Anolis sagrei: one gene and its partners. The main gene of each other region encodes a partner of the protein of the gene in region 4 in a complex. Links are inferred from orthologs where the notes say so. Each region holds a gene or a part of one and is shown on either strand. Other genes may lie near its edges.

What was found.
Region 1: KAT14 (region 4) and TADA2A share a complex: the UniProt entries of both Homo sapiens proteins name them as parts of the ADA2A-containing complex. The link is inferred for Anolis sagrei from reciprocal best matches to the Homo sapiens genes KAT14 and TADA2A.
Region 2: KAT14 (region 4) and MBIP share a complex: the UniProt entries of both Homo sapiens proteins name them as parts of the ADA2A-containing complex. The link is inferred for Anolis sagrei from reciprocal best matches to the Homo sapiens genes KAT14 and MBIP.
Region 3: KAT14 (region 4) and DR1 share a complex: the UniProt entries of both Homo sapiens proteins name them as parts of the ADA2A-containing complex. The link is inferred for Anolis sagrei from reciprocal best matches to the Homo sapiens genes KAT14 and DR1.

What each region holds. Positions count from the first base shown.
Region 1 is NC_090031.1:23,921,574-23,929,246, forward strand, and holds the start of TADA2A (transcriptional adapter 2-alpha), read left to right. Parts: upstream 1-4,583; 5' UTR 4,584-4,652; intron 4,653-7,673. UniProt on the Homo sapiens protein: Component of the ATAC complex, a complex with histone acetyltransferase activity on histones H3 and H4. Required for the function of some acidic activation domains, which activate transcription from a distant site. Binds double-stranded DNA.
Region 2 is NC_090021.1:301,829,568-301,837,760, reverse strand, and holds the start of MBIP (MAP3K12-binding inhibitory protein 1), read left to right. Parts: upstream 1-5,116; 5' UTR 5,117-5,199; coding exon 5,200-5,331; intron 5,332-8,193. UniProt on the Homo sapiens protein: Inhibits the MAP3K12 activity to induce the activation of the JNK/SAPK pathway. Component of the ATAC complex, a complex with histone acetyltransferase activity on histones H3 and H4.
Region 3 is NC_090024.1:145,862,229-145,870,116, reverse strand, and holds the start of DR1 (protein Dr1), read right to left. Parts: upstream 3,207-7,888; 5' UTR 2,691-3,206; coding exon 2,471-2,690; intron 1-2,470. Other genes in the region: FNBP1L (formin-binding protein 1-like), read right to left, coding at 7,615-7,798. UniProt on the Homo sapiens protein: The association of the DR1/DRAP1 heterodimer with TBP results in a functional repression of both activated and basal transcription of class II genes.
Region 4 is NC_090024.1:133,210,741-133,218,007, reverse strand, and holds the start of KAT14 (cysteine-rich protein 2-binding protein), read right to left. Parts: upstream 3,217-7,267; coding exon 2,961-3,216; intron 999-2,960; coding exon 880-998; intron 1-879. Other genes in the region: protein PET117 homolog, mitochondrial, read right to left, coding at 3,364-3,501, 5,557-5,652. UniProt on the Homo sapiens protein: Component of the ATAC complex, a complex with histone acetyltransferase activity on histones H3 and H4. May function as a scaffold for the ATAC complex to promote ATAC complex stability. Has also weak histone acetyltransferase activity toward histone H4.

The DNA of each region.
Region 1 (7,673 bases), on a different chromosome or scaffold from region 4:
CTCACACTTTAAAAAATATTTTCTATTACACTTACATTAACATCATTGAGTGTAAACAGTATACAAAATAGAGAACATTTCACAAACACTTAAACCCACCACCAAGGCCTGAACAAGTATCATTTCCATGGCCATAAATATATGAATAGACAAATACACGTTGTTTAATAATAATAATAATAATAATAATAATAATAGATATCCTTATTTCTTGTTATTTGCCTATACTTCTCTACTATGGCAAGCTTTAACACATAAAATTCCATAATTACAAACTGATAGGATTATTTATTTATAGTATTTATATTCTTCCTGTCTCAGGGTGGATCACATTGAGCAGTTTCACCAGAGATCTATCTCTTTCCTACCCTAAACTATGCACTTTATTTCTGGCCCACGAATTGATTACTTGACATTTCTAAGGGTATCTCCTGCCTCAGTTCCTTTTAATCCGCACTTTCCACTGGCCCCAATCGGAAGTTATTGCATGAAAATGAGCCTGATCCCAGGCACATTTTAAGGCTGTTATCTCAGCCTTATTCTTTTAAGATGTTGTTTTGATTGTGTTTATGTCTTTGATTGTTTTAATGCTCCCTCACTGACAATGGACCTGGATGAAATTTGGCACACAGAACCCCCATGACCTAAGAAAAATAGTGGAGATTTTGAGGAGAATTCACCTTGATTTAGAACTGTAGTAGGTACTGGGATTTATAGTTCACCTGCAATCAAAGAGCACTCCAGACATCAGCAACAATGGCCCTGGACCTAACTTGGGACACAGAACCCACATGGCCAACAAAAAATGCATGAGGGTTTTGGGGGGAATTCATCTTAATTTATAGGAATTATAGTTCACCTACATCCAGAGAGCACTGTCAACGCAAACAACAATGAATCTGGACCAAACTTGGCATGCATACCCAATATGCCAAAATTTGAATACTGGTGAATTTGGGGTGGAATTGTCCTGGACATTTGTTAGTTGTAGGTTTGGGATTTATAGTTCACCTGCAATCAAAGGGCAATCTGCACCCCACCAATGATGGACCTGGACTTAACTTAGCACACAGAACCCACATGAGCAAAAAATACTAGAGGTCTTTGGGAAAATTCACTTTGATTTAAGGGAGTTGTAGTTCACCTACATCCAGAGAGCACTGTGAACCCAAACACCAATGGATCTGGACCAAACTTGGTACATGTACCTGATATGCCGAAATTTTATTACTAGAGGGGTTTGGGGGGAACTGACTCTTTCTTTCTGGGAGTTGTAGTTTACTCATAACCAGAGAAATAGTCATCTCCACTGATGATGGACATGGACCCAACTTGACACACAGAATTGGAGGGGTTTGTGGGGACTGATTAGCCATAGCGTGGGCTATGCCTCCCTTGTAAGATGCCCCGACTCCCTTCGGGGAGATGGTAGCGGAGTATAAAAATACAGTTGTTATTGTATTGTCGAAGGCTTTCATAGTTGGAATCACTAGGTTCTTGTGGGTTTTTTTGGGCTATATGGCCATGTTCTAGAGGCATTTTTCCTGACGTTTCGCCTGCATCTATGGCAAGCATCCTCAGAGGTTATTATTATTATTATTATTATTATTATTATTATTATTTACTCCTATCTCAAGAATGGGAAACATGGCCATACAGCCCCAACAACCTAGAACATGGCCATACAGCCCAAAAAACCTACAATAACCCAGTGATTCCAGCCATGAAAGCCTTTGACAATAAGGGAAACGTAAGGTTGGTGGACGGGAAAAGAGATTTAAAGATGGGCTTAAAGCCAACCTTTAAAGTTGTAGCATAGACACCGAGAACTGGGATGTCCTGGCCCTTGAGCACTCTAATTGGAGGTCAGCTGTGACCAGCAGTGCTGCAGAATTCGAAAAGGCACGAATTATTATTATAAACTTACTATTATGTATAATTATATGTGTCCTATATGTACAATTATATATGTCCTAAATGTACAAAAGAGTAAAAGGGAGAAACGTGCCAAGAGGAAGGCGTGTCAAGCCAACCCCGATCGGGACCACCTTCCACCTGGAAACCGATGTCCTCACTGCAGGAGAACATGCAGGTCAAGAATAAGGCTCCAGAGTCACCTACGGATTCACTACCAGGACATGATGCTTGAGGGGCCATCATACTCAGACAACTAATGATTGCCTAAATAAGTAAGTATTACTACTACGACTACTAAAATTCTAGATGGGACCCATAGGAGGACCATCATACTCGGGCTACGAGGGATTGCCTAACAACAACAACAACAACAACATATGTTTAACATATTCGTATTATATTACAATATTATAACAATAGTATTATATTGTATTACTATAGGTATTATAGTATATAATGTAATATCATTATCAATATCTTATGTATATACAATATATATTATTAGCCCAGCACTATATCAATATTATATATGTAGTATATGTACAATTATATATGTACCATAGATATCAGTATTATATATATATATACTATATGTACAATTATATATGTCCTATATGTACAATATCAGTATTATAAATGTCCTATATGTACAATTATATATACCCTATATGTACAATAACAGTATTACATATGTACTATATATATATCCTATATTTTAAATTATATACATGCTATATGTACATAATCAGTATTATATGTGTACTATATGTACAATTATATATGTACTTTATATACAATTATATATGTATTATATGTACAATATTAGTATTATAAACTTACTATTATGTATAATTATGTGTCCTATATGTACAATTATATATGTCCTATATGTACAAAATCAGTATTATATATGTACAATATATACAATTATATATGTCCTGCATGTACAATATCAGTATTATATATGTCCTATATGTACAATTATATATGTCCTATAATTATATATGTACTATATGTACAATATCAGTATTATATATGTCCTATATGTGCAATTATATATGTCCTATATGTACAATATCAGTATTATATATGTCCTATAAGTACAATTATATGTCCTATAAGTACAATTATATATGTACAATATATATACAATATCAGTATTATATATGTCCTATATGTACAATATCAGTATTATATATGTTCTATAAGTACAATTATATATGTCCTATAAGTACAATTATATATGTCCTATATGTACAATATCAGTATTATATATGTCCTATAAGTACAATTATATATGTCCTATATGTACAATATCAGTAATATATACGTCCTATAAGTACAATTATATGTCCTATAAGTACAATTATATATGTACAATATATATACAATATCAGTATTATATATGTCCTATATGTACAATATCAGTATTATATATGTTCTATAAGTACAATTATATATGTCCTATAAGTACAATTATATATGTCCTATATGTACAATATCAGTATTATATATGTCCTATAAGTACAATTATATATGTCCTATATGTACAATATCAGTATTATATATGTCCTATAAGTACAATTATATGTCCTATAAGTACAATTATATATGTACAATATATATACAATATCGGTATTATATATGTCCTATATGTACAATATCAGTATTATATATGTTCTATAAGTACAAATATATATGTCCTATAAGTACAATTATATATGTCCTATATGTACAATATCAGTATTATATATGTCCTATATGTGCAATTATATATGTCCTATATGTACAATATCAGTATTATATATGTCCTATAAGTACAATTATATATGTCCTATATGTACAATGGAGCCCCCGGTGGCGCAGTGGGTTAAAGCACTGAGCTGCTGTGCTTGTTGATCGAAAGGTCGCAGGTTCGATTCCGGGGAGCGGCATGAGCTTCCGCTGGCATGCCCTAGCTTCTGCCAACCTAGCAGTTCGAAAACATGCAAATGTGAGTAGATCAATAGGTACCGCTCCGGTGGGAAGGTAAGGGTGCTCCATGCAGTCATGCCAGTGGCCACATGACCTTGGAGGTGTCTATGGACAACGCTGGCTCTTCGGCTTAGAAATGGAGATGAGCACCAGAGTCCCAGAGTCGGACATGACTGGACTGTCAGAGGAAAACCTTTACCTTTTTATATGTACAATATCAGTATTATATATGTACTATATGTACAATGAGTATTATATAGGTACTATGTGTTTTACTATACCTCTATACTGCTGTATTATTAGTAATATTACGCATAATAGACAATTATTATCTTATTATATACTATTATATTGTACTGTGTTAGTAAACCACAATTCCTATAAGACACTACAAGTGTACTATTAGTATTATAGAATATATTGTACTATATCATGAGCTGTAGCATATATAATCTATTACAACATTATTCATATTATATACAACATTATTAGTAGTACATTACAATGTTATTACAATTCTGAGGAGAAATCTGTGGTCCAAGTTTCCCTCACGTTTGTTTTGGTCTTGAGGCGTGGAACACGTGACTAAGGCCAAGCCAGGCACCAACTCGAGAGCGCATGCGCAGTTTGAACAACACTAGAATCCTACGCTTTTAGGAGGAGGCAGCGCGCATGCGCAGAAGGCGGGAAAGAAGTAAAAAGGAAAGGAAGGGCCATAAGGAAGGAAGCCTGCCCTTGTTGGAGACTCAAGCTATTCGGCGGTAAGAGGAAAAGCCCAAGAAAGGTCGAGAGATAAAGGGGAAGTAATAATAACAATAATAATGGGTTGTTGTAGGTTTTTTCTGGCTATATGGCCATGTTCTAGAAGCATTCTCTCCTGACGTTTCGCCTGCATCTATGGCAAGCATAGAATCAAAGAGTTGGAAGAGACCTCATGGGCCATCCAGTCCAACCCCCTGCCAAGAAGCATCCTTAGAGGTAGTGAGGTCTGTTGGAAGTAGGAAAAAGGGTTTGGAATGACCAGGGTGGGACAAAGGACTCTTGTCTGCTGGAGCTAGGTGTGAATGTTTCAGCTGACCACCTTGAATGGCATATAATGGCCATGTTAGAGACTGGGAATATAGGGTGACAGGCCCAGAAGCAGAGAGGAGATGAGATTCCGATGGGGTTTTTCAACAAGGCTTTTATTTCAAGTTGATCAACATGAGATGAATAGCCTTTGACCATTCCCGGTCAAAGAACAAAAACTATTCACCCTTTGTGGCGCACTTAACAATGTTTTTAAAATCAAACTTGTAAGAACAACACGCAAGCAACTTCTGATTGGTTGTACTGTTTCTAACATCACAGCATGAGCTGTGACTTATCTATCTGCAAGTTGATTATCCAAGGCAGAAAGAATTTGTGGGAGTAAAGGAGTGCATCTGCTTGTGTCTGACTGAACAAGGAACACAGAGAATAATTATTCTTTCTCTATCAGCAGCCCTTGGCAAGCAAGGTTTTCTCTATAGACAAAGATTCTGGGACTTGTAATAATTGGAAATTTATTTTTCTTAATCATGTTCCTATAGCCTGACAGTGACTGGAGCAAACTTTTGTTGAGAGGTGATTAGATGTCCTTGATTGTTTCCTCTCTGTTGTTGTGCTGTTGTAATTTTAGAGTTTTTTAATACTGGTAGCCAGATTTTGTTCATTTTCATGGTCTCCTCCTTTCTGTTGAAATTGTCCACATGCTTGTGGATTTCAATGGCTTCTCTGTGTAGTCTGGCATGGTGGTTGTGAGAGTGGTCCAGCATTTCTGTGTTCTCAAATAATATGCTGTGTCCAGGTTGGTTCATCAGGTGCTCTGCTATGGCTGACTTCTCTGGCTGAAGTAGTCTGCAGTGCCTTTCATGTTCCTTGATGCGTGTCTGGGCAATGCTGCATTTGGTGGTCCCTATGTAGACTTGTCCACAGCTGCATGGTATACGGTAGACTCCTGCAGAGGTGAGAGGATCCCTCTTTATTATTATTATTATTATTATTATTAAACTTTATTTGTACCCCGCTAGCATCTCCCGAAGGACTCGATGCAGCTTACAAAGGCCAAGGCCTCAACACAACAACAACAAACAATAACAATACAATGCAAGCAAATTAAAACATAAGCAATAACACAACAAAACATTACACTATTACACAATAAAATCAGGGCCGGGCCAATGATGGGTACAGGTTAAAAATGTGCTGGGTGTAAGAGGTGATATGTTGGGATTCTGGGCAAGTGCAATGTGCAGAGAGTCTTAAGCTCTAATAAAGTGCTTCTGGGACGTAGTGCTGGAGCTTATACTATTCAGGAAAGGCACATCGGAATAGCCAGGTCTTCAAGTTCTTCCTAAAGACTGCCAACGTGGGTGCTAGTCTAATGTCTTTGGGGAGGGTGTTCCAAAGTCGGGAGGCAACCACAGAGAAGGCCCTGTCCCTCGTCCCCACCAAACGCGCCTGCGACGCAGGTGGGATTGCGAGCAAGGCCTCTCCGGATGAATGAAGTGAGCGCGTGGGTTCGTAAACGGAGATGCGGTCACGCAGGTAGGCAGGTCCCAAACCGTTTGGGGATTTGTAGGTAAGCACCTGCACCTTGAATTGGGCTCGGTAAGTAAATGGCAGCCAATGGAGCTCCTTAAACAGGAGGGTTGACCTATCTCTGTAAGGAGCACGAGTTAACATCCTGGCCACCGCCCGTTGGACCAGTTGGAATTTCCAAGCCGTTTTCAAGGGCAGCCCCACGTAGAGCGCATTACAGTAATCCAATCGAGAGGTGACCAAGGCATGGACCACCCCAGCCAAATCAACCTTGTCCTTTGCTGAACGTAGCATTTGTTGGATTTTCTTGGTGGGTCTGTAGATCGTTTGTATGTTGTATCAGCTTCCCTATGCGGTCAGTGGTTCCCTTGACGTATGGTAGGAACACTTTTCCTCTGGGTGGATCTTCGTCTTGACTCTCGTGGCTTGTTCCAGCTCTTCTGATGTGTCAGGTGGAGTCTCCATTGGCCTGTAGAGCCCAGTTTAGGTGGTTCAGTTCATCTTGAAGAAGTTGACAGAATCAATTTTTTTTGAGTGAAAAACATACATTGGGTTGTTAGGTGTCTTGTGTCCAAATTTGGTGTCAATTCGTCCAGTGGTTTTTGAGTTCTGTTAATCCCACAAACGAACATTACATTTTTATTTATATAGATGCCTTATTGATCTTTTGGAACACTACTTGCTTTCATGAACTTTTATCTTTTATTTTTCCATAAACTACAAAGACTTCCATCTGTGTGCAGTTTTGATGATTTCAGCAAGGTGAATCTACCATCCTCTGACCATCCTAAATCCTTGCTAACCCCAGTCACCATGAATCAAGCGGACGTTCAGCAGTTGCAGCAACAGATTCAAGCGCTACAGGCACAAATCGCTGCTTTAAGCCCTGTAGCAAAGATCCCGATGGCAATGCCGAACAAGTTCTCCGGGGAAGCCCAGCGGGTAAAAGACTTCGTGGGACAATGTGACGCCTTCATCAAGGTGCGAGTGGCAGAATTCCCCAATGAAGCAGCGAAAGTGGCTTTCATCTACAGCCTGCTTGAAGGGCCTGCGCTGGCTTTGGCTACGGCATTGCGTGAGGCCAACGCTCCCGTGCTGGCCACCGCTAAGGAATTCATGGAACATTTGCGGTACACCTGGGGGGGCCGAGTGGCCAAGGAGACAGCTGCAGCTGGGCTCGGCTCATCCCAGGATCGAAGCTGCAGAAAAGTCGAGGCGGC
Region 2 (8,193 bases), on a different chromosome or scaffold from region 4:
TTTTAGATACTGTTTCATTTTTTTTGTTCAGGCTTGACCTATGCAGGTGCAGAGAGAGACAGTTTTGAAGAGAGAAGCCAAGAGAGAAAAACTAATATGCTTCTTGGCTGCTGAAAGAAGGTCTCTCACATTGACACAGAAAGGACCATTTTAAATCTCTCATAAAAGGACATTATGTGAATTGATCCCACTGATCCCATTGTACATATGTTGTTCTGAACTAAGAATAAATTACTTGTTCTTTATTGTTCATCTGCGTAGCATATTTTCTTTCTCTAGCAAGGCAGTGTGTGGGCTGATAAAAAAGTGGTTTATTTTACATTCTGCCATAGGTTATGGGCCCAGTCTCATGCCACAGTGCCACATCTGCTTGTGCCAGTGCCACTGCTAGAGTTATTTTAAAAGGACTGTAGTTAAATATTTCTTGATCAGATGTGAACTACACATGGTTTATTTTACATTATGCCACAGAGTTGGCTATTATAATATATCAAATACAAACTGTCATCATATGGGGTCAAATGTAGTCAGTTGTTCAACAGGGAAGATATAGGGCATTCAGTTCAGGGTAGACTATAAGAAACTGTAGCTCTCAAGGATTTGCTTTACTAGATCTTTCAATGTCAGATTTAAAACATTTTAAGTAACATCCTCTCCCCCTTTGCTAAATAAAATAAAGCAACTGCGGGGGGAAGGGGATGGGTGGAGACGGGACCAAGTGGGTCACTGTTTTCACACTTTGTGCTGTTAATATTGGGAAGTAATTTATGTTATTGCAGACAGTAATCAAAGTACCTGTTCAAAATACCAAATTTACTTTTGTATCATCTCCTGATCTCTATCAATGTATTTCTTCATTTATGTAGATAAAGTTTAAAACACATTTCAAGATATATTTCCCTTCTATAAAAACATTTAAAAGTGTATTTTAATGGCATTGATCCAGTTGTTTGTCTGTTTGAAATACAAATAAGAATAAATCACCCTGGCTTTTTGAACATTGGAGGAATTTAAAATAAATCATTTCTTCTGGCTGTTTCTTGCACCTGACTTTCTGGGCTGGATTTTATTTCTTTCCGTCGTATTTTTTTCAATGGCTGCTTCAGTCAGGATAAAAAGCTGAGTCATCTAGTAAAGTGTTGCACATGCTACAGATAAATCTGTACATGCTGCAGAAAAACAACAGCTACTGACAAAAATGTTCTAGTGTCCCTATTTTAAGAACAAACAGGACTAAACCACTTTGGGGTGTCTGAAGTGATCATCAGAAATCAGCCCAAGACATGACTACCATTGAACAGTGACTATCTGCATGGCCTTCCAGATGTTGTTCAACTCAATTCCCAATAGCCACAGCAGCATGTTCACTGGTGATGGCAGTCCTAGTCCAATGTTTGGAAAGCATTAGAATGGATACAGGTTGGGTCCTCCTTATCAAGAATTCCAAAATTTGAAGTAATCTATAACTCTCTATATAGGTGACACTTTTGCTTCCTTTCTCTCTTTTATATATATGTGTGTGTGTATGTTATACAATTTACGAAGACAATAATTTCTCCGTATATGACTTATTTCAAGACTTCTGAAGCTTTTTGCACTCGTGACCTCTTTCCACCTGAGAAATTTTTACATGATCCTGAATAATAAAGGTAAAGGTTTCCTCTGACATTAAGTCTTGTTCAAAGACACCTCCAAGGTCATGTGGCTAGCATGACTGCATGGAGTGACATTACCTTCCCATAAAAGCGGTACCTATTCATCTACTCACATTTGTATGTTTTTGAACTGCTAGGTTGGTAGAAGCTGGGCCTAACAGCAGGAGCTCACTCCGCTCCCCGGATTCAAACTGTCAACCTTTTAGTTAACAAGTTCAGCAGCTCAGCAGTTTAACCCACTGCGCCACCAGGGGGTCCTGAATACATAGTTATAAAAGACAGGTATAAAAACTAAACATTTACTGATAAAACGCTTGCTAAATACGGTGATTTTTCTTTTTGTGGAGTCCAGTGGATGCATTTCTGCAGAGTCACTGCAAACACTGCAGATTTCTGTAAATGGGCAGCCTTCAGAAAACTTTTACTGTTACCAGATTTTTCATGGCCCCAACACTGAGCTAAGGAGACCTCATTTGGGTTCTGGACACAGTTCAAGAAGCAGTGTGGCTTATATTACTGTAAACCTCAATTCAAACTAATTTCACCCACCCTCCTAGCAAAAAACAATGATCAATTAATAAAATTGAAAGATTAAAATGGACTTTTCCACCTCAAAGATACATAATTAAAATACTACTGTTACTGTATTGCATTGTATTATCTTAGACAGATTGTTCATTATATCTTGCTAACTCAGTGTTTTATGACTAATGGAACGGCCCTGGATAATGATTTGGATTGTGTGATTTTAATTATGTTTTAATATTTGATGTTTTAACTGTTTGGATTTTAATATATTCACTTGTTTTATTGATATGTATCTATGTGGCATTGAATTGTTGTCTTTGTAAGGCCGCTCTGAGTCCCCCTTCAGGGTGAGAAGGGCAGGGTACAAATGTAGTAAATAAATATGATAAAAAGTACCTTGGTATGTTTCACATTTTCATCACAAATTGTTAGTGTGCCTGTACATTCTCTTTCCAGCCTGGTTGGAGTCAGGTACCATCCGTACATCATTTCATAGATATTCTATTTCAAGTCAAAACTTGGAATATTTTTACATTCTTTTGACCATATTGCCATCCCACCTCTCCAGCCCAATTTTTTTGCCCATTGAGTCAAACATTTTTCTTTCGTTCTCCCTTTTAATTCTATTTTCACAAACTTTTCAATATACACAGTTTGACACCACTTTAGTGGCATGGCTGGAATCCTGGGAAGAACCAGCACTCTTTGACAGAGAAGGCTCAAGACTGCACCGGGGATTGTGGGCACCGGGGATTGTGGCGCAGCTGGCTGAGTGTCAGCTGCATGAAGATCACTCTGACCAAAAGGTCATGAGTTCAAAGCCAGCCCAGGTTGGAGTGGGTTTCCAACCAATTGTGTAGCCTGTTGTCGACTTTTGCAACCTGAAAGACAGTTGCACCTGTCAAGTAGGAAAATTAGGTACCACCTTAAAGTGTGGGGAGGCTAAATTAACTAATTTATGAGGCCATACAAAAAAGACTCCAGCAAAGCACTCCAGCAAAGAAGCATGCGGGGAATGCGGAAGTGCTTCATCAGCGTCGCAGATGGACAATGAAAGCGACAGCTCCCCTGGCAGCCAGAAAAAGTTAAATAGCCTCTGTCTATGTCTGTATATGTTGTATGTCAAAATTGGCATTGAATGTTTGCCATATGTGTACACTGTAATCCGCCGAGTCCCCTGCGGGGTGAGAAGGGCAGAATATAAATGCTGTAAATAAATAATAAATAAAGTACAACTCTCATGATTCCACGTAGAACAAAAGCTGCTTGCAGCCACTTTAACTGCCATGTCTTAATGCTATGGGGTCCTGGGAGTTCTAGTATTACATGCTCTTTGGCTTTCTTTCGCAAAGAGTGTTGGTGCTTCACCAAACTGCAACTCCCATGATTCCATAGCATTAAGCCATGGCAGTTAAAGTGGAGTCAAAATGCAATAATTCTGCAATGTAGATGCATCTATACAAAGGTGGAAGGGTAATTATCTTATAAAACTGCAAATAACATAATTCCACAGCATTGAGCCATGGCAGCTAAAGTGGAGCCAAAATGCAGTAATTCTGCAATGTAGATGCACCTATAAAAAGGTGGAAGAGCAGGTTAGTTAGCTTATAAAACTGCAATTCCCATTTTTTTTCTCGTGTCAGGGCAGCCAGTCAATTATATTACATTTCTAACAGAACAAAGCAAACAAACAGAGAAAATACAAAATGTGTGAGTTTGGTAGTTGATTAAATGTCCTTTGACCAGTATCTGGCCACTTGGAGTGCTTCTGGTGTTGCTGCAAGAAGGTCCTCCATTGTGCATGTGGCAGGGCTCAGGTTGCATTGCAGCAGGTGGTCAGTGGTTTGCTCCTCTCCGCACTCGCATGTCGAGGATTCCAGTTTGTAGCCCCATTTCTGAAGGTTGGCTCTGCATCTTGTGGTGCCAGAACATCTGTTCAGCACCTTCCAAGTTGCCCAGTTCTCTGTGTGTCCAGGGGGGAGTCTCTCATTTGGTATCAGCCATTGGTTGAGGTTCTTGGTTTAAGCCTGCCACTTTTAGACTCTCACTTGCTGAGGCGTTCCAGCAAGTGTCTCTGTAGATCTTAGAAAACTATGTCTGGATTTAAGTCGTTGACATGCTGGCTGATACCCAAACAGGGGATGAGCTGGAGATGTCTCTGCCTTGGTCCTTTCACTATTGGCTGCCACTTCCCGGCGGATGTCAGGTGGTGCGATACCGGCTAGACAATGTAATTTCTCCAGTGGTGTAGGGTGCAGACACCCCATGATAATGCGGCATGTCTCATTAAGAGCCACATCCACTGTTTTAGTGTGGTGAGATGTGTTCCACACTGGGCATGCATACTCAGCAGCGGAGTAGCACAGCGCAAGGGCAGATGTCTTCACTGTATCTGGTTGTGATCCCCAGGTTGTGCCAGTGCCCACTTTTTGCTTGATGTTCAGGCAGTGCTTCTTGTAGGTAAGAGCACGGTCCAGAGTGACTCCCAGGTATTTGGGTGCGCTGCAATGCTCCAGTGGGATTCCTTCCCAGGTGATCTTCAGAGCTCAGGATGCTTCTCTGTTCTTGAGATAAAAGGCACATGTCTGTGTTTTAGATGGCAATTCCCATGACTCCATAGCATTGAGCCTTTGCAGTTAAAGAGGAGTAAAATGCAATCATTCTGCAGTGTAGATGCACCCATAAAAAGTGAAAGAGAAGGCTGATTAGCTTATAAAACTGCAACTCCCATGATTCCATAGCACTGAGCCATGGCAGTTAAAAGTGGCATCCAAGTACAAGCCTGCTGCAGCGTAGAGCACCCAACTTCCCTTGCGCATGCGCGTTCCAGGAGCCAGGGCCTTTAGAACCTTCCTAAATCCTCAAGCCATTCCACGCTGGCCGTCAATCTTGAGCCTGGAGGGGGCGGAGCAAAGGGCGGGCTCTTGGAACGGAGGGAGCGCTGTCGTCATCGACGCGCGACCACGTCCAAGGGGGCGAGGTATGGCGAGGGTTGCCTTGGCGCTGAGCGGCTGTCATGGCGTCCACCGGGGAAGGGAGCTGCTCTGGTGAAGCCGAGGCCTCCGCCCGGGCGGGGAACTCCTCCGAAGAGGCGCTCCGAGAGATCCTGAGGGACTCCCTGCGTGTGCTGCTTCGGCTGGCAGAGGAGGTGAGTGGGCCGAGGGGAGCCGTGAGAGAACAGGCGGCGGAAAGGGGAACCGGGCTGGAAGTTGAGGTGGGGAAGGGGAGAAGCGGGCTTTGGTTGGCGAGGGAGTTTAACAGGCCCCATTCTAAAGGTGCCCCAGACCCTCTTTGCTTGATTTGCAAAATTCTGGCTAGTATTTCGAGTGCTTTTTTCCCACAATTTCACTGGATATCCCAGGCAGGGGCCAACTTGGGCCCTCCGGGTGTTTTGGACTTCAACTCCCACAATTCCTAACAGCCAGTAGGCTGTTAGGAATTGTGGGAGTTGAAGTCCAAAACACCCGGAGGGCCCAAGTTGGCCCCTGCCTGGGATATACACTGCCATATAATGCAGTTTGCGCATTACATTAAAGGACATCAACATTATAGAATGATTGCAGTGTGACACTACTTAAACCAATCATGGCTCAATGCTATGGAATCATGAGAGAAGTAGTTTCAAAGGTCTTCAGCCATCTCTGCCAAAGAGTGCTGTGACCTCATGAAATTACAACTCCCATCAAGCCAGGGCGGTTAAAGCGATGTCAAATGCATTAATTCTATAATGTAGATGGCCCCAAGGGCCTCCTGATGGTGCAGCAGTTTAACCACCAAGCTGCTGAACTCGCTGACCGAAAGCTTGCTGGTTTGAATATGGGGAGTGGGGTGAGCTCCTGTTGTTAGGCCCAGCTTCTGCCAACCTAGCAGTTCGAAAACATGCAAATGTGAGTAGATGAATAGGTACTGCTTTGGTGGGAAGGTAATGGCCTTCCTTGCAGTCATGCCGGCCACATGTCTTAGGAGGCATCTACAGACAGCATTTCTAAGCTCTTCGGATTAGAAATGGAGATGAGCACCACACCCCAGTCAGACACGACTAGACTTAATGTCAAGGGAAAATCTTTATCTTTACCTTTTTTGGATGGCCCCATTTGTACAGTTTCAAGCCAGTATTGAAGACACTGGTTTCAGCTGTGCTGATGCTTACATAGAAAATTTTGGAACCAATTTGAGGCCTGGATAGTGATTGCACAAACCACTGGTGCACATTAAGGGCTTTCTTTCACACACTTTTGCAGTAGCTTGTGGTCTGAGACTAGCCTCAAACTACATTAAATTGCCAGCATAGTTTGTTTTTCAAGGGTGGCTGTTGCCATGTGCATTCAAGCAATTTCTGGCCAAATGAGACTGTTAGGCAGTGATTCTCGACCTGTGGGTCCCCAGGTGTTTTGGCCTACAACTCCCAGAAATCCCAGCCAGTTTACCAGCTGTTATGATTTCTGGGAGTTGAAGGCCAAAACATCTGGGGACCCACAGTTTGAGATCCACTGCCCTATCACACAGTTTTCTTGACACAATTTGTTCAGGAGAGGTTTGTCCTTGTCTTCCTCTGAGTCAGAGAGTGTACGACTTGCCCATGGTTGTCCAGTGGGTTCATGACTATGTAAATTCAGAATTATCTTAATTCTAAGTTGCATCCTTCCTATCTTGCTCCATTCAATGGAGTTTTGAGCTCTAGTTTTGTGTATACATAAGAAATTACATCTGTCTCCCTGGACATACTTCATCATTTTGCAGAAGTGACCAGTCTTGCACCCTAACTGTGCTAGAAAGAAAACTCTGAAGTTTCACAAGGCATCTGATAGGAATAAGGAATGTGGATCATTGGAAGTAGAAATTGTACAAAAATGGGAAATACAAACCTTGTGATAAAAGCTTGAGTATCCCATTGTCTGAAATGCTTAGGACCAGAGGTGTTCTGTATTTCAGATTTTATCTGGAGTTTTCAATACTACCATATTCATAATGAGATATCTTGGAGATGAGATCCAAGTCTTAACACAAAATTCATTGTTGTTTTGTATATATCTTACACAAATAGTCTGAAAGTAATTTTATGTACCATATAAAAATGTTCTTGAAGCAAACGTTGGTGTATATTAAACCATCAAAGTCAGGGTGTCACTATATCAGCCATCCATGTGGACAGTTTGGGATTTTGGAATACTTCAGGTAGGGGATGCTCATCCTGTAAATGGTGTGAGGAAACTAATGTCAATAGGAATTTTCAGTGCAATAATTACATAACGTTTTACTCAGGAAATTACCATCTAAGAAATCAGATGGAATGCATAATAAATTGTAATATAGTAAAAGCAATCAGGAAATATAATTTAAAGTTAGACCAAGTAATTTCATGGAATAACTATGAAAATAATTTTAATCCAAGTTTATGCTCCCAATTCTGTTGGTAGAAAATAAAAAATCAATGCAATCTATGCAGGCTTTCAGGAATAAATCAATCAGACATATTGATCATGGGTGATTGAATCTCAGTGGGAAGAAAAAGAGGAGAACCAAGCATTTTTGGCCTAGAATAAAAAATGAAGCAGGAGAGGGACTGATGAAATTTTGTGAAGGCATCGGGCTTTTGTTGTTACAAAGACATTATTTAGGCATTTGAAAAGATTTATACATGTACATTATTGTATGACTAATACTGAATTAAAAATGTATAATTGGAAGGAGAAAATGGAGAGGCTCAATTCTTTCTCCAAAAACAATACTAGGAACAGATTGTGACACAGGCCATGAACTGCTAATATCAAAAATTAGAGAAAACGTAATAAAATGCATTAAATCAATTGTAATCTATATATATAAATCTGTTAGGTTGGTTCAACGGGACAGCAAAACTCCACAACCCCCCAACGGAACTTAACCAAAATTCCCATGCCCATAACACAACCCACAAGGTACAAACATATCTACTCAAAATGAAAAACAACACAACAACACACTCACAAAACGGCAAAACAACAAAACTCAAAAAAACCCCAACGAAACT
Region 3 (7,888 bases), about 13 Mb from region 4:
AGGCCAAATAAGGTCTTAAAAGTAAGAATCAGCACCTTGAAGGTAATCTGGTGCTCAATCGGCAACCAATGCAGTTGCTGCAAGATTGGAGTGATATGACACCTTGCTGGAACCCCTGTGAGAAGCCGGGCAGCAGCATTTTGCACTAGTTTAAGTTTCCGGATCACTGATAAAGGCAGGCCTATGTAGAGGGCATTACAATAGTCCAATCTTGAGATGACTGTAGCCTGGATCACCGTGGCCAGGTCGTCCCTGGACAGATAGGGAGCCAGACGCCTAGCCTGACACAGATGGAAAAATGCGACTCTGCTCGCAGTGGTGGCCTGGGCCTCCATCGTCAGCAGAGGGTCTAAAAGGACTCCTGAAGAGGACTCAAAGCTGCTTAACATAAAAGCATCTGCTCAGCCATTTAAAATACACAAATATACAAGCATTAAAACAGGATTAAATATAAATAGTATTTTAAAATTCCCAGTTAAAAATCATCATTTAGCCCTTTCTGCAAAGAGTGCTGGTGCAGACAACTCTAATGTTTCTATAGCATTGAGCCAAAGGAGACAAAAATTTTAATTGACCCTAGTGTGCAACAAGAGCAGGTCACAGGGTGTCTAATCATTTTAATGTCCATATGTTTTATATGCTTATTTATCACATTGTGTTATATTAATGTGTGCTACTCTTGAATTTTTATTTATTTATTGATTTACTTCATTTATACCTGGTCTTTCTCACCACACAGGACACAAGTAAAATTCATATGCTCATGCTTATTATGACATGTTTTATCTTGGGTGCTTTAATTTGTTTGATTTGTTATGTGTCTTATTACCATTTATGCTGTTATTTTACTGCAAGCCACTAAGAGTCCCTTTGGGAGATGGGGCGGGATGTAAATAAAGCTTCATTCAAAGTGGTGTCACACTTGCACCAATTTTGCAAGGTGGTAGATGCACCCCGAGTTTCCTTAAAATGTGACCTGAAGTGCAGGATCTGGAGCCCACTTCCTTCTAGAATCACAGAGTTGGATAAGACCACATGGGACAGTCAATCCAACCCCCTGCCAAGAAGGAAAATCGCATTCAAAGCACCCCCGAGAGATGGTCATCCAGCCTCTGTTTAAAAGCCTTCAAAGGAGGAGCCTCCACCACAGACCGAATAAGAGAGTTCCCCTGCTGAACAGCTCTCAGTTTGAAAGTTCTTCCTAATGTTCAGGTGGAATCTCCTTTCCTATAGTTTGAAGCCATGTCCTAGTCTCCAGGGCAGCAGAAAACAAGCTTGCTCTCTCCTCCCTATGACTTCCTCTCACATACTTATACATGGCCATCATGTCACCTCTCAGCCTTCTCTTCTGCAGGCTAAACATGTCCAGAAGCTTATTCTCCAAACCCTTGATAATTTTAGTCGCCCTCTTCTAGACACATTCCAGCTTGTCAACATCTCCCTTCAACTGCGGTGTCCCAAATTGGACACAGTATTCCAGATGTGTTGTGACCAAGGCAGAATACAGGGGTAGCATGACTTCCCTGGATCTAGACCAGGGGTCTTCAAACGAAGCCCCTGGGGCTGGATACGGCCCTCCAAGGTCATTTATCTGGCCATCAATTTGGGTCAACCTAAGTCTGAAATGACTTGAAAGCACACAGCAGCAGCAACAATCCCATGTCATTAGCCAAAAGCAGGGCCACACTTCCCATTGAAATACTAATAAGTTTATATTTGATAAAATTGTTCTTCCTTTTAATTGTTGTATTGTTTTTAAGCGTTTTGCACTACAAATAAGACAAATAAGCCCCGGCTCTAGTTTTACTGTGCCACAGTGTATTGTTTTATTGCTTTGTTGCTATTGCTTTAATTGTTTTGGTTTGCTTATGAGTTGTGTGTATTGCTATGTTATTGTTTTATTGAGGGCCTTGGCCTTTGTAAGCCGCATCGAGTCCTTCGGGAGATGCTAGCGGGGTTAAAATAAACTTAATAATAATAATAAATAATGTGCAGTGTGCATTCATTCATTTTTTCCCTCAAATTATAATCTGGCCCTCCAACAGTTTGAGGGACTGTGACCTGGCCGACACTAGACTCTTATTGATGCAGGCCAAAATCCCACCTGCTTTTTTAGCTGCCACATCACATTTAGCTGCCACATCTATGAAGGATCTGGCTGGATCTACACTACCAAATAACGCAGCTTGGACGGCATGTGGATTCCGCCCTACAGCCTCATTACATTGGAACATGAATTCACTTGAAATTCAGTTTCTGCCTTCTTCGGAATTGTAGTGTTTGTAGTTTAGTGAGGTCCTGCCTGGCTGAGCAGTTTAGAGGTCCCTCCTTAAACTACAAGCCCCAGAATTTTACAAGAGGCAGTAACTGGATTTAAAGGGGATCCATGCTGTGGTGTGATGAGGTCCCAGGATGGTGCTGATTATCCCTGCTGGCCTTCTGAAGGCATGTCTTTGCCAGCAGGCCTTGCCTTGGATGACGTGCTCGGGGGAGATGGTCTTCTTCTCGGACTTGTTGCAGATTTCGTTGGCCTCGGAGGAGACCAGGTGGATGAACTCGGTGCAGCAGTTGACCACCAGCTCCCGGGCGTCGTTGGCCACCCGCACGTTGGGCAGCGTCTCCTTGATCATCTTGTTGATGGCCGCCCGCGGGATGGTCAGGTCGTCGTCGTTCCCGGACGAGGAAGCCATGCTGGGCCAGGGAAGTGCCGCTCGAGGAGCCGGGCGGCGAGGGGAGCCCAGGGGCCCGGCGCCCGCCTCCTCCTTCCTCCTGCTTCTCCTTCTGCTTCGCGTGAGGGCCGAGCCCACAGGCCCCGGAGGCGGCCCCCACTCACTCACTCCTTCCCTCGGCCCGCTCTTCAGTCGCGGCAAGGAACAACAGAGAAGGAGCTCGCGGCGGGCAACCAGCCCAAGCTGCGGCGCCCAACACTTCCGGCGGAAGCGGCCTTTCAAGGCCTACTCTCTTTCCGCTTCCGGTTGGGCCCGGAAGAGGCCGCTCCTCCCCTCCTGCCTAGAAATGCTTCGAAGCGAGGTTCCTCCAGGCCCCGCGGCCCCCCCTAGAGTTCTTAGCCAGTGAAAATGCATCCTGTCTTTGGGCTTCTAAAAATGTCCCTTGTTGAGAGGTTGTCAGCGCCAGCCGGTGAGCTCGCCAGCCTTCCAACGGAGACAAAGAGACTGAGAAAGCGGCTCGCGCATGCGCGGCGGCATCATTCTCGTTCTATTTCACTCTTCTTCCGGTTGGGCACTCTAGGAGTCTTGCAATGGGTTCCAGTGGTTCTCAACCTGTGGGTCCCCAGGTGTTTTGGCCTACAACTCCCAGCAATCCCACTCAGTTTACCAGCTGTTAGGATTTCTGGGAGTTGAAGGCCAAAACGTCAGGGGACCCACAGGTTGAAAACCACTGGTTAAACCCTTGTGCCGGCAGGACTGAAAACTTGACAGGTCGGAGGTTCAAATCCGGGAAGAGCGCGGATGAGCTCCCTCTGTCAGCTCCAGCTCCATGTGGGGACATGAGAGAACTCTCCCATCAAGGATGGTACAACAACAAAAACATCCGGGCATCTCCTGGGCAACGTCCTTGCAGGCAACCAATTCTCTTACACCAGTTTCTCAAGTCGCTCCAGACATACACACAAGATACCTTCTTTCATTCACTGGAACACCGCAGCAAGTGAGAGTCCACAAGTGGCAGGCTAAAACCCAGGGTAATAGTATGAAAGCTGGGTCCGGAAGCTCTGAGCCTTACGCTCTTTCCGCTTCACTCCTTGCGCTGTTTGCTCAACGCAGAATGGAACATAGTTATTATAAAAGGAATGTAAGAATTCTTCAATGGTACAACCCTTACCTGAACCCTTAGCCTAACCCTTAACCCTAATCATAACCCAAATCCTAAACCTTACCCTAAACCTAACTCCTAAGCCTAATTCTAACCCTAATCCTGGATCATGTTTTTAGTTATGAGATGCCAGTGGATGGTTATTGTTGTTAACTGTTTAATGTGTTTATGATGTTAATTGTTTTTATATACCGTGTTGTAGCATTGAATTTTTGCTGTTCTTGTTGTTAACCGCTGTGAGTTGCCTAAGGGCTGAGAACAGCGGTATACAAATAAAGTAAATAAATAAATAATCCGAACCCTACCCTAAACCTTACCCTAATCCTCCCCTCCTTTCTATCCTTCCACCAAACTGAAGTATATTCTCGCCCTCGGTCTGCCACCCTCCCCTTTCCTTATTCACAACCGCCGTTGCGGAATGTGCATAACACTCGGAGCTTCCGGACCCAGCTCTCATACTATCACCAAACCCAGAACCTCAATCCATGGCTGATACCAGACGAGAGACTACCTCCTGGGCACACAGAAGACTGGAAGGTGCTGAATAGACTGTGCTCTGGCACCATGAATTGCAGAGCCAACCTTAAGAAATGGGGCTACAAAGTGGAATGCTGGTGAGGTTGGGGGGGAGGGGTTGATTTTATCATTTGGGAGTTGTAGTTGCTGGAATTTATAGTTCACCTACAATCAAAGAGCATTCAGAACTCCACCAACAATAGAATTGAACCAAACTTGGCAAACCAGGACCAACAGAAAATACTGGAAGGTTCTTGTGGGTTTTTTCGGGCTGTAGGGCCATGTTCTAGAGGCATTTCTCCTGATGTTTCGCCTGCATCTATGGCAAGCATCCTCAGAGGTAGTGAGGTCTGTTGGAATTAGGACAATGGGTTTATATATCTGTGGAATGGCTGGGGTGGGGCAAAGAGCTCTTCTCTGCTGGAGCTAGGTGTGAATGTTTCAACTGACCACCTTCATTAGCATTTGAAGGCCTGGCTGAGCCTGGGAAAATCTTTTGTTGAGAGGTGTTAAGATGTGCCTGGTTGTTTCCTCTCTGCTGTTTTGCTGTTGTAATTTTAGAGTTTTTTAATACTGGTAGCCAGATTTTGTTCATTTTCATGGTCTCTTCCTTTCTGTTGACATTATCGACATGCTTGTGGATTTCAATGGCTTCTCTGTGTAGTCTGACATGGTGGTTGTTGGTGTGGTCCAGCATTTCTGTGTTCTCAAATAATATGCTGTGTCCAGGCTGGTTCATCAGATGCTCTGCTATGGCTGACTTCTCTGGTTGGAGTAGTTTGCAGTGCCTTTCATGTTCCTTGATGCGTGTCTGGGCGCTGCATTTGGTGGTCCCTATGTAGACTTGTCCACAGCTGCATGGTACACGGTAGACTCCTGCAGAGGTGAGAAGATCCCTCTTGTCCTTTGCTGAACATAGCATTTGTTGGATTTTCTTGGTGGGTTTGTAGATTGTTTGTATATTGTGTTTCCTCATCAGCTTCCCTGTGTGGTCCGTGGTTCCCTTGATGTATGGCAGGAACACTTTTCCTCTGGGTGGATCTTCATCTTTACTCTCGTGGCTTGTTCTTGGTATCTGATAGACTTTCAGATGAAAACTGGAGCAAACATTTCCCCTGTTGTCTAGAGCAGGCCTCTTCAACCTGCAGGCCTCCAGCTGTTTGGGCATCCAACTCTCAGAAGCCCTAGTTCAATGTTCAGGAATTCTGGGAGCTGAATTCAAAAACACCTGCAGGGCATCAAACTAAAGAGGCTTACTGTAGTGGTTAAGAGATTCAGATTATCAGAAAAGAGATGGTAACTTAACATCAAGAAGAACTTCCTGGTGGTAAGAACTGTTTGGCAGTGGAAGAGACAACCCATCACTCTATGATGTGTCTGTGAGACATTTTGCTCTCCACCCTGCCTTATTGTATGTCAAAAATAAAAACGTTGATGGAAATGTGGTGCCCCTTGAGCAGTTTTAAGAAAGTTATAATAAAACATTATGCTGTATACTGACATTGTTTATTCCATCCTTACTGACATACACATCCCTCTACTATGTTTCTAAAACAGCAGGCGCACAACAGTTACCACAACAGTTTTATAGAAACAGTGGTCATAAGTATAACACAATTAAAATAGAGGGAAGTTATTGGACACATATGCTTCCCAACCAAAAAATAATGTTTAACAAAATCCGATAGTAAACATTTTCCTGGGGTGTACTAGCTGCTAGGAGAAATTAGTATAGTCAAATGTTTGCCTAAGTGAAAAACACCCCTCTCTTTGACAATATATTTTTCTATGGAATTTCTTTTCAATGGGGAAGCATTCAGGGTACAATTATCCTTCCATAGGTTTTGACATGAGATAGAACAAACCAGGAAAGCCTTAATAATTTAATTCTCTTGCCTTGAGAAGCTGTTATCTCAACCTTCATGAAATTGTCATTGAAGAAGCAAATTAAACTTTATTTTTAAAGACTGCTATTCAATTTACAAGTACTGTACATGAAAATGCTTATTAGAAAAACATTCAAATGGTCCAAGTGACAGATCTGTGTTCATAAATGGAATGAAACTCAGAAAATTATATCTTCTGGTGGTGACAGGGCTTTGCTTAGGAAAGGAGTTAGGAATGTGTGGTCTTTTTGTTATCAAAGGACTTTGGGCCCTTCCAGATAGGCCCTGTATCCCAGGATTTAATCCTATGTTTTCTATTTATCCCAGATTATCTGGCAGTGGGGAATCATATAATTCAGGTTAAAGCAGAAAACCTGGGGTCAGATCCTGGGATATAGGGCCTGTCTGGAAGGGCACTAAGACTCCTGACCTGCCTCACAACTGTCTATGCTGTTAGGGTATTGCAATCCAGCTACATCTAAAGTGCTACATATTTCCCATTCATACTAAGATGCTATAATTTGAAATATAGATTAATTTACAGACACTTCACATTATTTTAGGTTTCCCTCATCCCAGTGACATAGAAAGCAGCAAGTGAAATAGCCCACAGCAACATTTCTTCACTGAGAAGATCTTTCTCCCAAGTCAAAGCTTTTCCTGCTTTTCCATCTCAGCAATTTAATGAAATTAAGACTTGCACTGAAAATTTTATCGTGCTGAAAAACCATTTTGTAGAAGGTCTCAATTGGCAGGTCTCCATTGGGGTCAGCGTACTTCAGCGTTGTAATTGGAGTGTATAAAGTATTGGTCTGATGACGAAAAGGTGGGTTTTCTGACAGAATTATCTTCATTGTATGCTGTTGGGATGATAAACAAGAGAATTAGGAACCATACATTGTATTGCTAACCAGCAGTACAAATGAACATCCCCACATTGTTCCAGATAACAATAAAAGTGTGTGTGTGGGGGGGGGGGGGGGGGGAAGCATGAGATAGCTATTTGCCCTGGTACTGCTTTTCTGATTGCAAGAATGTCATTCACTTTGAGTTTATTGTGAAGCAGAGAGAGAAAACTTTTGCAGCAATTCACTGTTTTAATTGCTGAAAAAACATTTGAAAAGAACACTATGAGACCATTATTTTTTAAGAAGTTGGAGGTTACAATTCTAAATAAATTACGATAATCTTTGAGGATGCTATTACTATTTCTAAGAGAGATAAACCTCCAAACGTATTCCAGCTGTGCTGCAGAGCTAGAGACTTCATAGTTCCCAGCTAGACAAATACCCATGGCTTTGTATTGTTTCTACTTATCATTAAGAATGCTGTAGCACTCTTTGCCCTTACATTTCATTGCATACTTTTAAGACATTACCTCTGCTATGTCTTCAGCAGTTTGCCCCAGTGTCTGGAAAATTTGCTTGTAATTTTTCAGGTAAATATTTACAAACATATCAGCTGTTTCCTTATCTGCAGCCGAAAGATCCATTTTCATTCCATCTTCGAAAACCTTCCTTTCAAACTCTGTAACTACTGGCCCTGGTTCTATTAAAGAAAGACTGGGTATGGGGAAAACCACACACACACAATCATTAATTTTGTTTAAGTTGTCTGCTAAATGCATGGCAAATTAGTGCATGGACCATGCT
Region 4 (7,267 bases):
GCCCCCTCTCTCATCTCCTTTAAAAAGGTTTTAAAGACCCATCTCTGTAATCTAGTTTATGGAGAGGAGGACTAGTATATCTCGTCCACACATAGGACACCTGACGATATGCTACATTATACAATGCTTTTAATGTACTGTATTTTAATTGGTCGACATCTTGTGTTTATGAAGTTTATGTATTTTAATCCTTGGTTTGATTGTTTATAAGTTACACTGAGTTTATTTTCTTGTATGTTTTGCCTTGAATTTTGTTTATTTGTTTTCTAGCATTGAATGTTTGCCACTTTTGTTATTTCTTGTGATCCGCGCTGAATCCCTTCGGGAAGAGAGGGCGGTCAATAAATAAAGTTTTATTATTATTATTATTATTATTTCTTATCATTATTAAAAATGAAGAAGGTAGTCAATTCTGGATTAAACCGAGTGCTTGCTAACATAATGTGTACAACCAGCATGGTTCATTATATAGGCACAAGAGTGTTTGAAGGAACATGGGGCTACAACAGTGGTTCTCAACCTGTGGGTCCCCAGATGTTTTGGCCTACAACTTCCAGAAATCCCAGCCAGTTTACCAGCTGTTAGGATTTCTGGGAGTTGAAGGCCAAAACACAGGCTGAGAACCACTGGGCTACAAGGCATAATGCCACTTTCCATGTTCATAGCTGTGTCTTTTAATGTTAAGAAAGGATTATATTTGTAATGAGTTTTGAACTGCTCTAGCTCAAAAATCACTTCTTTTTGCCTTTGCATCAAAAAGTTAGCATAGGTTTAACAAAATCACTAGAATCTCACTAAACAAACAAAAGATCCCCAGTGTATATCATTACACAGAAATTTGAAACCTTCTTACTCCATTACTGCTTGTTTGCTACTTACTTGCTGCCATGTTAGTTTTAGCCGTTCAAACTGCTCCTTCCCATCTTCAGCGCAATCAGAGCAAGTAAACTTGAAAAAGTTATCACCTTTGAGATGGGTGATCTGTTCTCTCACCTGACCTATAAACAAGCAAGGAAAGGCTTCAGGTTTGTCATAAACTGTAAAACTGCACATTGCATTCTATCAGAGTGGAGATCCCCTGACTTCAGTAAGAAGGTTCTTACTAGATATGTTGCTCCTTAAGAGAAACTAACGAGACTGAATAATTTATGCTTTAATTACATTTCAATTTATTAGCATTAAAAGATTGACAGAAATACTGACTCTAAGCAGGTTGCCTTTTGAAAATCTGAACACTTTAACCTTTTTTTGCTGAACTGTAAGAAATACTGACTGAAATACTATTGAACACCCTGAAAATATATAAGGCTAGATATTTTTAGAAAAATCAGATCATAATCCATAAGCTTCATGACTTTTATTATTTGTTTAGTTACATACCAGTATGTAACTAAACAAATGACAGGGAATCAACAGATAATTAGTACAGGAGGCTTTCACTTATTTGATAGTCTAAGGACCACAACACTGTCAGAAAGTGGAATTGGTTGGGAAGTGGAACCCGGGGGAGGGGGGGGGGGTAGCTTACAAGTGCATTCTGACTGCAGCATTTTTTTCCCTTGACATTAAGTCCAGTTGTGTCCGACTCTTGGGTGTGGTGATCATCTCCATTTGTAAGCCAAAGAGCCAGTGTTGTCCATAGATACCTCCTAGGTCATGTGGCTAGCATGACTGCATGGAGCGCCGTAACCTTCTCGCCAGAGTGGTACCTATTGATCTACTAACATTTGCATGTTTTCGAACTGCTAGGTTGGCAGAAGCTGGAGCTGAAAGCGGAAGCTCACGCCGCTCCCAGGAATCGAACCTGCGACCTTTCAGTCAACAAGCTCAGCAGCTCACACTTTAACCCAGTGTGCCACCAGGGGCTCCTCAGTACAGTATAGTGTAACATATATATGAGCAGTCCCAAGTTAACCTCATAGACAAGATGTGATAGAACAGTGGACCTGTCATCAAATTACTGGAACTTGTGTGTAATTTTGCAAGCCTTGAAAGAGCAACATATCAGAAAACAAGGCGTTCAAAGACAGAAACCTGTAGAAGGATTTCTTGCCTGGTACTGAAACAAACTGTGTCACTATTTATATTGTACTGATTATGAGGCTTATTTAGAATCAGCAATCAACGTCCAAAAAAATCATGGTGCATGCTGGAGTTTTTCTAGCTTCTCTTTACACAGCAGATACCACCACTCCATGAATCTAGGACCCCACCTACAAAAGCCATTTAATGCAGTTTCAAACTGGTATCAAAAAAGTGGCTTTGCTCTGCAGATGATTACATAGAAAATCCTGGAATCAGTTTGAGGCTCAGATGGTGATTACACAAACCATAGAGCACTGATATGCATTAAGGGCTTTCTTTTGCTAGCTTTCATGGCCATTTGTTGTCTAGCTAGTTTTGAACTGCATTAACTTGTCAGTGTGGATAGGGACACAGATGAATTTCTAGAATAAGATCCTACACAGTGCAAATACTACAGCTGAGAGCAATAACAGACCAGTCTCTGCATACAGAAAGAACCACCTTAGATTTGAATGTGGGGCTTCAAGGAATTTAACTTCATAATGACTATGATCATAACTGCTCAACAGTTAAAGCCTAAGCAGTCGGTTTTCTCTTATCAGCAAACAGAGCAAGACAGCAATGATGCCCAAAACTTGTAGCAGCTTAGCATATATCCTGGAGGAGAGGGGAAAAACCATCCACAGCAGACGTAATTTGTTCAGCATTTTAATTTTATTTGTACGAATCCATTTGCATAGTTGTTACTCTCATTAAACAATGAAGGTTTAACCATAAACCATATATTCTAGATGGACTGTATTTCAAATGACAGAGAAACACATACATCATTTTCATACACATAAATACAGAGAGAGAGAGACAGGCAGACAGACAAAAAGGGAATAAACCTGGAGTTCTGAAAACCACAAAAATTAAATATAAGGGATTCTTACTTGCAGCTATCCATTTCTGGCATCTTTCGCAATAATAGGACAGCTCCTCTGACCAGGATGTTTCCCCTTCATCACTATTCACAGAATCTCCACTCTGATCATGACTCAAATCCACTGATGCCTGATCTTCAGATTCCACTATGAGAAGAGTCTCCCCTTCCACTTCCCCTTCTTCCAGTCCTTCTGAAGGGGACGTCCTTGTTGCTTCATCATCATGACAACTCATCATTTCACTTATGTACATACTATTATCCATTGTTTCTTAAAAGAGGATTTTTTTGGTATGCTAGAAGCTTCCTCTGCTAATAGCATTAGACATATGAAGATTATCTCAACCATCAAGAAACCTATGCAATTACTGAAAGGACCAGGAAATTTCAATTTCAATTCTTCTCCGTCACTGTTAGCATTTTTTGAGCACTTGAATTTTGCTTTCCATTTCACGTTGTTGGATCAAGGCAGAACGTTCCTCCAAAAGGTTAATATATTCTTGTTTATGATTCTGTCTCTCAAAGTCTCTCAACACTCCTTCGCGTAGCCTCTGAAAGAAGGATATGATCATTTTTACTTCACAGGAAAAATGATATTGGAAAGAACGCCCCACAGTGAAACTTCTCAAGTTGTGTTGAAAAACAAAAATTAGACTGAGCTATCTTTTTCCTAGCAACTAACATAAGTTTTCAAGTGTTGCTAACTGCCCTGCAGCCAAACAATAATTTATGTTATACTAATAAGTATATAAACAATTTACAAATTAAACAGAGAAAACTATCCAAGAATCATTATTATTTGTAAAAACAATCTAATCTAGTAAATCTATATAAATAAAAATGTAAAGTTTGTTTGTGGAATTAACACAACTCAAAAACCACTGAACGAATTGACACAAAATTTGGACACAATACACCTATTAGGCCAACAAGTGACCATCACTCATAAAAACACTGAAAAACACAGCGGAAGGGACTTTAAAGCCAAAAGAAGCAAAAAGACACTACAGCGCATGCGCAAAACGACTCCCCCTGGAAAACAAAACACATAAAAGCATATCCACACTCTCTTCCGGACTACAACTCCCAGCATCCCCTAGACCAGGCCCTTTAGGAGAGGAGGATGATCCAAATGCACTGCTTCCAAGCTGAAAGCTTTCTTCTCCTTGGATTTCTTTGAGAGCATCCCAATCCCTGCATATTTCCAATTTCCTATTCCTGGACTGCCACTCCCAGCAATAATCCAGATAGATAAGGTAGACTGAGTAGATGGAGATGGATAAGATGGGTAGGTAGATAGATTGAACAGGAGGACTGCTGGGAGTTGTAGTCCAAGAATAGGTAGAGAAGGAAGAAAGGGGAGAAAGAGGAAGGGAAAGAAAAGGGGGGAGGAAGGGAAGAGATGGAAGGAGAGAATGAAAGAAAAAAAGGGAAGGAAGGAGGGAAAAAGGAAGGGGGAAGAGAAAGGAAGGAGGAGAGAAAGGAGGGAAGGTTGGCCACAGCAACATGTGGCGGGTACAGCTAGTGTTTAATAAAAATTATTTGGAGAGATAAAAAATCCAAATTATCTGCTTTGAACTGGATGATATGGTCAGATCAGCTGGAAAGCAGGGGTCTAGGGCGAACTCGCCATCAGCATTTTAGAAGGGGCCTTTGTCATTTCCGACTTGGTAGTAAATGATGCCAAGCAGCTCTCTAGTGCAAGTGGTTCCCGACCTTTAATCCTCCAGGTGTTATGGACTTCAACTGCTAGAAATCCCAGCCATTTTAGCAGCTGTTAGGAATTTTTCTTTTTGTCGTGTCAGGAGCGACTTGAGAGACTGCAAGTCGCTTCTGGTGTGAGAGAATTGGCCGTCTGCAAGGACGTTGCCCAGGGGACGCCCAGATGATTTGATGTTTTTATCATCCTTGTGGGAGGCTTCTCTCATGTCCCGACATGAGGAGCTGGAGCTGATAGAGGGAGCTCACCCTCCTCTCCCCGGATTTGAACCTGCGACCTGTTGGTCTTCAGTCCTGCCAGCACAGGGGTTTAATCCACTGCTCCTGTTAGGAATTGTGGGAGCTGAAGTCCAAAACACTGGGAGGACCAAAGGTTGGGAACCACTCCTCTAGTGGTTTGCTTCTACTTAATGCTATATTCTTGCCTCATAATCTAGTGCAGTGGTTCTCAACCTGGGGTCCCCAGATGTTTTTGGCCTTCAACTCCCAGAAATCCTAACAGCTGGTAAACTGGCTGGGATTTCTGGGAGTTGTAGGCCAAAAACATCTGGGGACCCCAGGTTGAGAACCACTGATCTAGTGGAAGTGAGAGGAATTCAGAGACTCTCTATCTATTCAGAGACTCTATTCTATCTACTCTCCCTTCCAAAACACATTGAAGTTCTGGCATTCTTCTAATTCTGGTGTTACTTCATGTGGAAGCTATGGTTTTGAAAAGGGTGCCATGCCAATACAGCGCCAAAGGAAGGGAGGCAAGGCTGGGCCCTCTACAGAGGCCTCTCAAAGTCTCTTCTCAGGGAAGCAAGCACTTCCGCCGCGCGCGAGGCGGAAAAAAGGCTTCTAGCACCTTTGGGGATGACGTCACTAGGGAAACCGCGCGCCGTTACCTCTTGCAGGCGCCTCTGCTGGAGGTGGACGCCCGCCACGACCCCGCCGGAGAGCAGCAGCGAGGCCCCCAGCACCACTTTGGAGGCCGTCGACATGGCGGCTCATCTGCGCATGCGTGCTTCCGCGCGCCCCCTAATGCGCATGCTTGCAGGGCGCCGAGTAAGATTGCTCCCTCCCTTTGCTCCCCTCCCCGTTTCTGAGGGGCGGGGCTTCTACACTGCTCTTTTTTAAACAAGTGCTGAGAAGAGAAACTTAGGATCGTCTTATCTTCTTCTCTATATAAATAAAAATGTATTGTTCGTTTGTGGGATTAACAGAACTCAAAAACCACTGGACGAATTGACACCAAATTTGGACACAAGACATCTAACAACCCAATGTATGTCTTTCACTCAAAAAAACTGATTTTGTCATTTGGGAGTTGTAGTTGCTGGGATTTGTAGTTCACCTACAATCAAAGAGCATTCTGAACCCCACCAACGATGGAATAGATCCAAACTTGGCACACATAACTTCCATGACCAACAGAAAATACTGAAAGGGTTTGGTGGGCATTGCCTTGAGTTTTGGAGTTGTAGTTCACCTACATCCAGAGAGCATGGTGCACTCAGTGATGGATATGGACCAAACTTGGCACAAATATTCAATATGCCCAAATATGAACACTGGTGGAGTTTGGGGAAAATAGACTTTGACATTTGGGAATTGCAGTTGCTGGGATTTATAGTTCACCTACAATCAAAGAGCATTCTGAACTCCACCAACAATTGAATTGAACCAAACTTGGCACACAGTTCTCCCATGACCAATAGAAAATACTGCAAGGGTTTGGTGGGCAGTGTCCTTTGGTTTTGGAGTTGTAGTTCACCTACATCCAAAGATCACTGTGGACTCAAACAATGATGGATCTGGACCAAACTCTACACAAATACTCAATATGTCCAAATGTGAACACTGGTGGAGTTTGGGGAAAATAGAGCCTTGACTTTTGGGAGTTGTAGTTGGTGGGATTTATAGTTCACCTACAATCAAAAAACATTATGAACTCCACCAATGATAGAATTGGGCCAAACCTCCCACCCAGAACCCCCATGTGGGTCACAGCAATGCATGGCAGGGGATGGCTAGTAGAATATAGAATTGGAAGAGACCTCATGGGCCATCCAGTCCAACCCCCTGCCAAGAAGCAGGAAAATTGCATTCAAAGCACACACACACACAGATGGCCATCCAGCCTATGTTTAAAAGCATCCAAAGAAGGACCCTCCACCACACTCTGGGGCAGAGAGTTCCACTGCTGAACAGCTCTCACAGTCAGGAAGTTCTTCCTAATGTTCACATGGAATCTCCTTTCTTGTAGTTTGAAGCCATTGTTCCACGTCCTAGTCTCTAGGGCAACAGAAAACAAGCCTGCTCCCCCTTTCTTATAACATCATTTCATATATTTATACATGGCCATCATATCTCCTCTCAGCCTTCTCTTCTTCAGGTTAAACATGCCCAGTTCTTTAAGCCGCTCCTCATAGGGCTTGTTCTCCAGACCCTTGATCATTTTAGTCGCCCTCCTCTGGACACATTCCAGCTTGGTTTGTTTGTTTGGCTCCTTGCTGCACTCTCATATGTGACTAGGATGCCTAGTCAATGTTGCTGGATTGGAAAAATTATCTTCTTTACCTTTATGGCAAAGCAAAGGCACCAGATGTCTTTCTG